3 linked regions of the Xenopus tropicalis genome follow. The protein of the gene in region 3 interacts with the protein of the main gene of each other region in a pairwise test. Links are inferred from orthologs where the notes say so. Each region holds a gene or a part of one and is shown on either strand. Other genes may lie near its edges.

Region 1 (3,754 bases), on a different chromosome or scaffold from region 3:
ATGTGAATAGAATATCAAATATTTAATATTTACAAAGCCTTTATTCTGGCCGAACAGGCACAGATTTTCCATAATGAACTGTATAACTGTACCAAATGTATGACCCGTAACACCTATTACCACTGGGGGCCAATTTTATGCAAAAAGTTTAGCAGTTTTGGACTAAAGTGAGCTTTTATTCCATACAGTATGGCGGCAGGGAGAGAACATTTTGCTATTTTTATTGGGATTTTCTAAAACAAATCTGCAGATAGTGAAGTGATAATAGTTTGGAAAAGCTGTCATATGGTTTTTGAGGCAAGTTATTATGGCACTGTGTGGAACTTTAGAAAAACAGTCCAAAGGGACCTGCATTGGTGGAGAGCCCTGCCAGGCGGTCTGGCAATCTGTGAGTTCTGGGGCTGCTGTAAGGTGCCAGTGACAGTCACTGTTTATCGGGCAGTTTGGCCTCTGTGTACTTGAAATGCCAGGGCCTACTTTGACTCCAAGTCCTGCCCAGAGCCGTGCCTACTGCTTGTGGGATAAAGACAAACCACCCTCCTTCCCCGCTGATAACATAGTCACACGCAGGACTCTTCGCTCTGCCACCACTAAGTATTTCTCTCCCAAACTAGTAGGCAGGGACACATATGGTATATTTCATTCAGTAACATTTGCTGCTGATGAATGGCACCTTCGCTTTGAGATTCTAGCACCTGAGAGAGTACAAGCCAGAGGTGCCGGTGCGCTACGCACAACAATAATACAGAAGGAAGAAGCCGCCCCATGAGCTCCCTGCACTGAGGCGCAGCTCACACGCCCAGAGGTTGTCCCTCCCTGTCACTGCAACTCTTTCTCTCATTTCCTGGGTCACTCCGTTGCTATGGTGACCGCATTGCACCTGAGCCCTGCGCTTGCGTGTTTCCCTGCAGCCCGCTGGCGCAGACCTGGGGGGCCCGAGTGGCAGTAGAACGCTTAGTAAGGGGCACATGACTGTACGGTAATAACCTATTCCTCCCTGGGGACGAGTTACAGGAGGCCTCCCGGCATGCACCGCTTTATTGTGGTCGGTAGCTCAGGGAGATAAGAACGGAGCTGACCGGACTGACTGGCGCGGGCGAAAGGGCACTGGGTGCCGGGACAAGAGAGCATGACTCCCAGCGCCCACTGACTGGCAGAAAGAGACGCCACACACGCACAGAGACGGTATGTATTATAGCTAGTGCACCTGTCCCTGGCTGGCGCTATTCCTGCCCTATATATGCGCATCATTCCTGCACTCTATCTCTCTTGCAGTTGTATAGGGAGGAGCTCTGTGCGTTGGTATAACTGTGCCCTTGCCATGTAATCAGCGCTCCTAGGGCATCATTAAGTGCTAGGGATTTGCCTCCCAATCTCATTGTGATCTCTCTGATCTGCCTTGGGAGAGAGGGAGGGGGGCGCGCTAATGGCTCATCGTCATCGCTGAGTGGGGGCATCGCCAGTGTGCAGGATGGACGTGACCCCCATGGGACGCTAAGGGCGGGTTCCTCTGCTCATGCCCGGGGCTGGGAGCAGCCTGTCTCTGTTCCACTCAGTCAGTAGCCTGCCCGGGGATGGCACGGCAAGCCCCTGTGTGAGGAGCCCATACACATGCTGATGAGGAGCGGTGGGTGAGTGGGTGCAGGCTGCGGCTATGGGGGGAGTCACTGAGATCATACTACACCTCCTTGGTGCTTAGCGCCTCATTAGTACATCGCATCACTATTACAGCACCTAGCGCTGGGAGACACACAATGGTGATTAGTGACCCACACTAAAGTCAGTGTTATCCGCAATGCAGATGGAGTGCAGGGCTGTCCAACCCCTGTCCTCTTATAGTACTACAACTACTGGGTTACTGAGGGGCCATGGGTTGGCCACTAACCTTTGGGCTGGATTTGCTGGCAAATTCACTGGTATCTCAGCTTTGCTGTATGGGGAAGATTTCCTTTAGTGATTGAGGCTAATAAGTGCTTATACAGAGCTCCCTGCTCTCTGTGGGATGTTTGAAGTGGGTTTATTGATAAGCATGGATATTTATATTCCTATTATTAGATACATTATTATTCTTTCCATAGGACTCTGCCACACCTCATATGTAATACAATATGGGCGGTTAGGTCAATTATTGCCCATTGTTGTGCCCTTTGTATGCCTTGTTTGAGTGTTGGGAAGCAAGTGTCCTGATATTAATAAGATGCTGTGTAAGACAGTTTTCTGGTGAAGCCTTTGTATGGAGCCTATTAGCCGTAGTCATTTAATAATTCATGCTTTTATGGAAACAAAGAGAGCGCTGCGTGGCCCATGTGTCATTATGACCTATCCATTCTGTGTGCTCCTGGGAGTATCAATGACATCAACCATCTCCAACTACAGCAGTGCTGTGCCTCCTGCCTCTCTCTCTATGGAATCCTCCAAGGTAGGGTGTTTTCCTTCCCTCCATGCTGAAAAAAGTAGTTACCGGTTCTTTTAAATCTAAACAGTACATGATGCTACTGCTGGAGTGATTGCTAAAATGTTGCTTACAGTGTCCCCACGAGTAGTTCAGCAGGCTCGCCACAGAGCTCGTTGGACGCATTTTCTTCACGCCTTATTGTGTCACTCCCAATGTGGGCAAAAGTTTGCAGAAAATCAGGATGTTATTGAATTTACAGCAGAAATACTATTTTAGGGCCAGTCTGACACATGTGAACCTTATATGAACATGCATTTGTTGACAGTGCTGTGCGTATGTGAAAGTTCCCAACCGTTGCTTGACATTGTATGTAACCTTGTTATCAAGTTATTGTCTGCTTTAATTAGCCATATTGGGCTCATAGAGGCTCACTGCAGTGTCCTTCACTAGGCTTGGTGGCAGGAAGTCACGTGTGCAACAGATACTTTTCCATGATCAATGCTATTGCGAAAAATTGTTTAGTTTTGATACGGTGCAACAATGTTATTATACTCGTATAACTGTCAGGCTTGCTAGTGCCTTTTTTATTTTTACAGTTTAGTTACTGTATCCTTTAAGGCAGAGTTTTCAATAAATATACAGTTATGGGACCTGTTATCCAGAATTCTTGGGAACTGGGTTTTCTGTAAATTCACCATACCTTAAGTCTGCTAAGAAAAACATTTAAACATTAATTAAACCCAATAGGATTGTTTTGTATCAAGTACAAGGTACTATTTTGTTATTACAGAAAAAAAGGAATTTTTTAAAAAAATATAATTATATAAATATTCTGAATATCGAGTTTCCAGATAATTGATCCCATATCTGTATTTATGTTCGTTTAAAAATGTGTTCTGTTATAAATATGTGTACATAGATAATTGTTTTTATAGTAACTTAATATGTCGGCATACATGTTGCTTCCAGGCAGTGAGATAAGACAGCATCACTCTTGTATATTTTGCATTGCTTGCCAACACATTCTAAGGGTGAAGACACACGGAGCTACTTAGTAGCAGCTACTTGTCACGGCTACTAAATGCCAGAAAATCCCCTGCCATACTGAGAATTTCCTCAAACACACGTAGAGACTTATCAGTAAATGATCAGTATTGTCTGTTTTAGTATCCTTGACAAGTAGCTGCTACTAGTAGCTCTGTGTGTCTTCACCGTAACATTGCTTTCTGACAGTTAGTTAATGGTAAGTGCCATCATAGTACTAAAAATATGCAAATTTAGCTTAATGTTTTGAGCATAGTCATCTAAATGCTACAGTTATCACTTGTGCCTCCTAAACAACTGCAATAAGGATCACAA
Region 2 (3,654 bases), on a different chromosome or scaffold from region 3:
CCACAGACAGTCACTATTTATTGGGCTGGGGGGCTTTTTGTGCCTCTGGGTACTGGGAATGCCAGGGGGGGCTGTAAGGTGCCACAGACAGTCACTATTTATTGGGCTGGGGGGGCTGTTTGTACCTCTGGGTACTGGGAATGCCAGGGGGGCTGTAAGGTGCCACAGACAGTCACTATTTATTGGGCTGGGGGGGCTGTTTGTGCCTCTGGGTACTGGGAATGCCAGGGGGGCTGTAAGGTGCCACAGACAGTCACTATTTATTGGGCTGGGGGGGCTGTTTGTGCCTCTGGGTACTGGGAATGCCGGGGCCTATTTTTAATCCCAGACCTGACAGGGGTGGGGTTTGGTCACAGTGCCCTTATGAGCTGTTTTCTCTCCCTTTCCCTGTAGGAGAAGACAGATGTGGAGGGGACCTTATTTGTGTACACAAGGTAAGTTGCACCATTGCACACTCAGGGGGTATCAGTTCCCCTGCCCTGTAATGCTTGAGCCAATCGACTTTATTTCCCCCTTAAACTCCTTTCTCTGTCCCTGCATAGATCTGCCTCCCCGCACCATGGATTCACCATCATGAATCGGCTAAACATGCACAACCTCGTGGAACCCGTGAACAAAGATCTGGAATTCCAGCTGCATGAGCCCTTCCTGCTGTACCGCAATTCCAGCTGTGAGTTCCTCTCATTTGCTATGGAAATTGGGTCGATCTGGGTGCGGGGCCACGAGCCCTTGGCTCCCCTTTTTCTGCTAAATTCAGGCAAATGGCTTCCCAGGAAAGGAAAATAATTGGGCTGGCCGGAAGGTTTATTCTCTCCCCCTTGTGTTATTTAAGGCTCCTTACTGGGGGAGCCGGTGAATTTGCACTTTTTTTGTGCATTTTCTTGGATAAAGGCTTAGCAGTAGCAGATACTTTGTATCAAATAGAGAAAATAGGCACCAGAATTCTCAATAATTTTGCACCCAACACAAAGGGTAAAGACCATACCTTGTAAGATTTACCCGTTTGGTGAGGTCAATAAACGAGGGGATCTTCTCCCCATATGTCCACCTAAAAGTGTGCGATACCAGGCTTAAGCATCGTACGATATTCGGTGCGTGTATGGCGGATCAACGAGACGACCGATATCTCAAAGGCTGCGGATATCGCCTGTCTCGTCGATCGCCAGGTTAAAAGAGGCGCCCGATCAAAATCTTTTAACCTGGCGATCGATGAGACAAGCGATATCCGCAGCCTTTCAGATATCTGAGAAGAAAATCTGCTTTCAGGGCTGAATCGGTAGGTGGAGGAGGTATAATTCCTATTGTTTCTACCTCCATATCTTTCCCGAGACTGATGGTCGCAGGAATGATCAGAATTGCTAGGTGTATGGCCACTTTAATTCAAGGAGCTGATGTAGTTCCTGATCCGACGGAAACACACCTTATTATTATCAAAACCAATTTGAGGCCAGATATCGGTTGTGGGTGCCCATACTCGGGCAGCTGAATCAGTCTGAATGATCCGTATGGGCATCTGAAATCTACCTGTGTATGGGCACCTTAAATTGTCATAACTCGGCTGATATCCGCAGGCTTTGCGATATTGGGCGTCTCGTGCGTTTGTGGCCACCTTAAAGGAACAGTAACACCAAAAACTGGTGTGTTTGCCTCAGAAATTTCTATAAACAAAGCTGCTGTTTAGCCACGGGGGCAGCCATTCAAAGGAGAAAAGGCACAGGCACATAGGAGATAACAGATAATCACTATTGTATTCTAGAGAGGTCATCTGTTATCTGCTATGTAACCTGTGCCTTTTCTCCTTTTTTCCAACTTGAATGGCTGCCCCCATGGCTACACAGCAGCTTATTTATATAAACTATAGTAGTGTTACTGTAGCAAACACACAACTGTTACCAGTGCAGGGCAACAGTACATTATATTTTAATCACTTTAAAAAACTTTCATTTATTGGTGTTACTGTTCCTTTAATTTATGGTTCTAGAGTATACAAAGGGCTGCAGCTATTTTGAGCGGTGAGTAGCGTTACAAACTGTAGGCTAAAGGTCCCCATACACGCTGAGATCCGCTCGCTTGGCAACCTACGGGTGGGCAATATCGGGGGAAAAAAAAAAAATTCAATCGTTTGGCCCTGGGGCGTAACGATTGAATTATACTGGCGGCAAGGGGCAGTCGGTTCGGGGACCGCATCAATGAGCCGATGCGGTCCCTGATCCGACTGAATCTTCTAACCTGGCCGATCGAGATCTGGCTAATTTCAGGCCAGATATCGGTCGGCCAGGCCCCTCGTTTCTGCCCCTACATGGGCAGGTGAGGGCCACGCACAGCAGCAGTTGTGGGCACACTAAAATCAGCACCCTTCATGTGCGAATAGGCACCATTAATTAAAGGTTCTTGCATCCAAACCCACTCCATACGCTCCCCGCCAGCCCCTTGGATAAATCGGCCACAACTTGATGCCGGGGACCCGGGAGCTACCAGCACCTTGAACGCTTAATTATGGCAAAGCATGCTGCGTTCTGGGTAGAAAAATGGCACATTGTTCCCAAATTGTAATTTTTAAATGCACTAAAGCTGGCCATACACGCACCGATAATATTGTAGGAAACCCCATTTCATACGATATTCGGTGTGTGTATGGCAAGTTGGCGAGGCGACCGATATCGCAGAAGACTGTGGATATCGGTCGACTCGCCGATCGGGCGCCATAGAAGGCACCTGAGCAAAATCTGCCTTCAGAGCTGAATCGGCAGAAGGAGGTGGGAATCCTATTGTTTCTACCTCCATATCTGATGTTTCAGCCCTTGAACGTTAGTGGTGAATTGGAACGATCTTTTGTGCGACCGATGGCTGCACGAAAGAACGAAAATCGCCACGTGTGTGGCCACTTTAATGGTGGCCAGCATATCCCTAGAGGGAGTTCTTTTTGTCACGTGTTTGACAAAGAAGCTTCTGTTGTTGGGACAGACGTCTCCGCGCACATGTGTGCCAGGGTGCAGTGCCCAGCGCTGAGCCCCCAACTGCTCCCTATTTCCTACACTTCTGGGGATGTAACATCTCTGCTCTATTGCAATCAAAGCCCTTGGTTACTATGGAAATGCTGCACTGCTGCTGACGAGGTGGGTTTAACCCTTTAGCACAGGTCCTTCCCTCCAGTTGCTTGTTTGGATTGCAAATTATTCATTATTAATTTCCCCCAGTGCTTTTTAGAGATAATTCATCATTCAGTCCATGCTCAGAGGAGCTGACAGTCTGAGGCCCCTATTGCATTTACACACTACGATCAATTCAATCAGAAGCCAATTAACCAGCCTGTGTATGTGTTTGGGTGTGGAAGGAAACCCATTCAGACACAGAGAGAACATATAAACTCTTTGCAGAGTGTGACCGAGCAGGAATCGAACTCAAGGCCCCAGTGCTGATCAGTAAACCAATCAAAACAATAACCTGCCCCTATACACTTTGCCCACCCAATACTGAATTGCCAACTACCTTAAACTCCGCCTACAGTACTTCAATGGCCTCCACTTTAATCTAGGTTGAAGGCCATAACCAAGAAATTTAAACTGCACTGTAGCGCCAAAACTATATTATGCTGCTATGTTGGACTTTTCAAAGCTAAATTAAAATGTTGTATATACATATGGGTAGGGGGTG
Region 3 (3,754 bases):
TAGCTTAATAAGCAGATTAGTCTCTGTTTTCATTTGAGACTTTCCTTCTCCTGAAGGCTCAGTGATGTCTGTCATATTTCATGAGGTTTATTAAAGACCTGGGACATTATTTACAAAGACCTACTATAAATCATATAAATCCTTGAAATCATGAACAGAGTAATACAGGGGGATAAAAAAAATGACCAAGATACTGTATTAGAATTCATAGAAATCCACTAAGCAATGCATATTGATACAGTCGGTACTATCCTGATCCTTAGCAGAACCAGTAGGGTGCATGCACATCCAGCAGTGAAGATTAGTGTCAGTGTTCTGATTACTCCTACTAGTTAAAGGGATATTTTAAGATAGAAAATGTGCTATAACAGACGTGCTCCTACCAAGGTCCTGCTTCCTTTAGCATGTAACTAGTAGCCTATTTGAATATTACATGTTAGCAAATGCATTATATTAAAAGGCTGAGAAAAAAATGCATTATATTAAAAGCCTGAGAAAAAAAAACAATTTGGAATTTGAGTTACATATTATACTCATTAAAAGCTAGTTAAACAGTACAAATTTTCCATAATACAACACTCTCTGGTTATTAAGGTGCTGGGAACAAGGCAGGTGTCTACAGTTGTCTGGAAGCGCAGAGTGCCCACGCTGCAGTAGAAGGGAGCGCCCAGCACAGGCGACCATGTTGGGACAGTCACATACACAAATGAGTGAGTGCCCCAGCTCACAAGCTCTTCAGAACTAAAATCAAATCCTGCCTGTTGGAGCCCTAGCATAGTATCTGGTGCCAGGTGTGATTCAGAGCTCACTCATTCAGAGTAATGGCTGTACTTATTACTCTCCATGCTTTGTCTGTAAGTTACTCAGCCACATAAATTGTAAACTTTCTAGGCCTGGAACCACCTTCCTCCTGTGTCACTGTTTCCTTGTTGGCTCACTTCTGACTGTCCTGATAATGTACTATAAAAAAGCGTAACACTGCATACACAAATAGCACTTTATAAATAAAGATTTATTCCTAATTATTCCTAATTTACAAAACCAGATGTGAAACCCCTGCTGCTCCCTATAATTGCTGCCTGCTTAGAGTAGTTTGTAGTTGCAGGGCCACTTTAGAGGATAATTTATAGCTGCCTGTGTGGGATGCAGGTTGACCAGTTTTGTTCTCACTTAAAAGACTGGAGAGCTATGAATAAAAACCATCCACAAATACATGTCTGTCACTAACTAACGCCTTAAAAGGCTGCTTGCTATGAGGTGCCACTATGCTTATCTGCAGGGAAGAGCTGTTTTATTAGAGATATGGTATTAATAGCACAGCAAGCAGAAGAATGTCCATCTTCCTAATTATCACACTCATTGTTTAAATAATTCAGTGAGTATCAAAACTCCAAAGGACTTGTCCCAGCCATTTCATTCTCTGACTGGAGGGCAGACCTGGCACACTTTAACCGCAGGTAAGGGTTGTTTTTACTTTGCACAGCAGCTAGAGACATAATATAGTATAATGCATTAAAACTCTCATGTACTTTAAAATGCCTACTGAGGATAAAAAATCAGTTATTTTATTTCACTAATTTTGAAAATGTGTGTGCAACAGGGTCCAGAACTCTAGGTGCTTAAATTGCACTCACGCCACCAAAGCAAGATGGTATTGTGTTATGTTGTAACTTGTAGTTCAGCAATAGCTGGAGAGCCACAGGTTGGAGGTTACTCTAATAAAAAGGCACTTACAATTTTGTTAATAGCACTGCAGTGCAGTTTATCCTTGCAGAGGCACAAACTATAAACAGGATACTCTGGATGAAGTGGAACTGTCTGCCTTATTCTCCTTTAGTACACAAAGCCTGATGGCCAAATAGAATTAAAACTTTCTAGAGACCTAGAATATGTATCTACACAAACCACTGTATGAATTCAAATGCAATGATTTCTTTTGACTGTACTTTTTGGAAAGGAAGCACAACAGTTTATGATAATAATATTATTGATCTCTTATGCTGAATGCTCGGCGTGCTGAATGCTCGGCGTGCTGGACTAGGTGCAACTAAGAAGCAGACCTTGCTTTATATGGTAATAAGAAATAGTGACACATTACTATCTGTTATAGGAACATGTCAGTACAGGTATGGGACCCATTATCCAGGATGCTTTGGACCTGGGGTTTTCCGGATAAGGGGTCTTTCCGTATTTCGGATCTCCTACCTAAAGTCTGCTAAACACATTATTTAAACAGTAATTAAACCCAATAGGATTGTTTTGCCTCCAATAAGGATTGATTATAACTTAGTTGAGATCAAGTACAAGCTACTGTTTTATTATTACAGAGAAAAAGGAAATCATTTTTAAAAATGTGAATTATAGGATTAAAATGGAGTCTATGGGAGATGGCCTTGCCGTAATTTGGAAAGCAGGAACAAGTGCATGCAAGACACTGGATTATTGGAGGGAAGGCAGCTGATTTCGGCAGCAAAATAATGAGAGCTAAAATCAAAAGTACATTCGATTCATTCATTCACGTCGCTGTTCAAAGAATCATAAGCTGCATGCAGAGAGCAGCAAACCAATTTTTTAAAGGGGTAGTTCAACTTTATTTTATCCTTTATTGTGTTATAGAATGTCCTATTCTTATTCAACTGGCCTTTCATTTTTATTTTGTACAGCTTTTGAATTATTTGCCTCTTCTGCCTCTTTCCAGCTTTAAAATGGGGGTCACTGACACTGGCAGCCAAAAAACTATTGCTCTGTGGAGCTATTTTATTGTTATTGATGCTTTTTATTCCTTTGCTTTCTATTCCGTGTCTCTCTTAAATAACCCAAAAAGCACAAAAAATTTCAAAATATCTACATCATACTAAAAGTTAATTTAAGGGTGAACAACCTCTTTAACAGCTGTCTGAATCATTAACCACAGTATGGGATCTGCTTTGGGAAAAATTAAAAATATATTTAAAACAGTCAAACATTCTTATAATAAATGTAAAAAAAAGTTTTAAAAAACAAAACATTTCTGTTGGGAAATATTTGCATGTTAAAGGTGTTTGGATTTTAATTTAATGCCTTGTTATAAAGATACATGAAGAGTAAATGGAAAGATAGAAGCAGGGCACCATACAGTACATACCATTCTGGCAACTAAGCCATGAAATGCTCAGCTTATACGTCTCCATAAAGAGAATCATAACAAGCACCAGACCTTTTGAGTACTGGAATCTTAAGTATAGAAACTGTGACCATGGCAAAGACCGTAGGAATACTCAAATACCCAAATTGTTGTGGAAATGAAATCTGACAATAACATTTGGTGCAATACATTGGATTTTCTCTATTGCTCCTTGGCGTGACAGATAAAATAAAGACAGGGTACCCAGATGAAAGGGAAATCAGTGTCACATCACAGGATTAGCAATAAGGTGTGCAGAGATACAGAGCAGGGCACTGATTTGGAAGACAGAAATAAAACTTGTCTTTAACGAGCCTGTCAGAATGCTTTAGAGATTATGTTGCCATTGACAAGTATAACGACCAGCTAACGGAAGGTATGGGAATTTGCTTTTTGGAGTTTGTGATTGTAATTAAGATGGGAAGAGCTAAGTGCTGCCTTAACACTACTGAGCAGCCGCACATTAGGTTGTGCAATTATCAAGCTAAGCAGCATTGTCAGATCTACACTGGGGTACGAAACCCTTCTCACAAAACAGACAGAATTCTATGAGCTTAGCTACACAGATAAACCGCAACCCAGTATGATCCA

Evidence for each region.
Region 1: the proteins of fhl2 (region 3) and ccdc92 interact in binary tests that used the Homo sapiens proteins (3 or more experiments, as listed by UniProt). The two-hybrid records come from large-scale screens. The link is inferred for Xenopus tropicalis from reciprocal best matches to the Homo sapiens genes FHL2 and CCDC92.
Region 2: the proteins of fhl2 (region 3) and dcp1a interact in binary tests that used the Homo sapiens proteins (3 or more experiments, as listed by UniProt). The two-hybrid records come from large-scale screens. The link is inferred for Xenopus tropicalis from reciprocal best matches to the Homo sapiens genes FHL2 and DCP1A.

What each region holds. Positions count from the first base shown.
Region 1 is NC_030677.2:160,772,895-160,776,648, forward strand, and holds the start of ccdc92 (coiled-coil domain-containing protein 92), read left to right. Parts: upstream 1-867; 5' UTR 868-1,185; intron 1,186-1,234; exon of another isoform or gene 1,235-1,611; coding exon of another isoform or gene 1,612-1,627; exon of another isoform or gene 1,628-1,631; intron 1,632-1,654; exon of another isoform or gene 1,655-2,304; coding exon of another isoform or gene 2,305-2,419; intron 2,420-3,754.
Region 2 is NC_030680.2:150,725,958-150,729,611, forward strand, and holds part of dcp1a (mRNA-decapping enzyme 1A), read left to right. Parts: intron 1-393; coding exon 394-434; intron 435-542; coding exon 543-670; intron 671-3,654. UniProt on the Homo sapiens protein: Necessary for the degradation of mRNAs, both in normal mRNA turnover and in nonsense-mediated mRNA decay. Removes the 7-methyl guanine cap structure from mRNA molecules, yielding a 5'-phosphorylated mRNA fragment and 7m-GDP.
Region 3 is NC_030678.2:111,734,469-111,738,222, reverse strand, and holds the start of fhl2 (four and a half LIM domains protein 2), read left to right. Parts: upstream 1-1,119; 5' UTR 1,120-1,457; intron 1,458-3,754. UniProt on the Homo sapiens protein: May function as a molecular transmitter linking various signaling pathways to transcriptional regulation. Negatively regulates the transcriptional repressor E4F1 and may function in cell growth.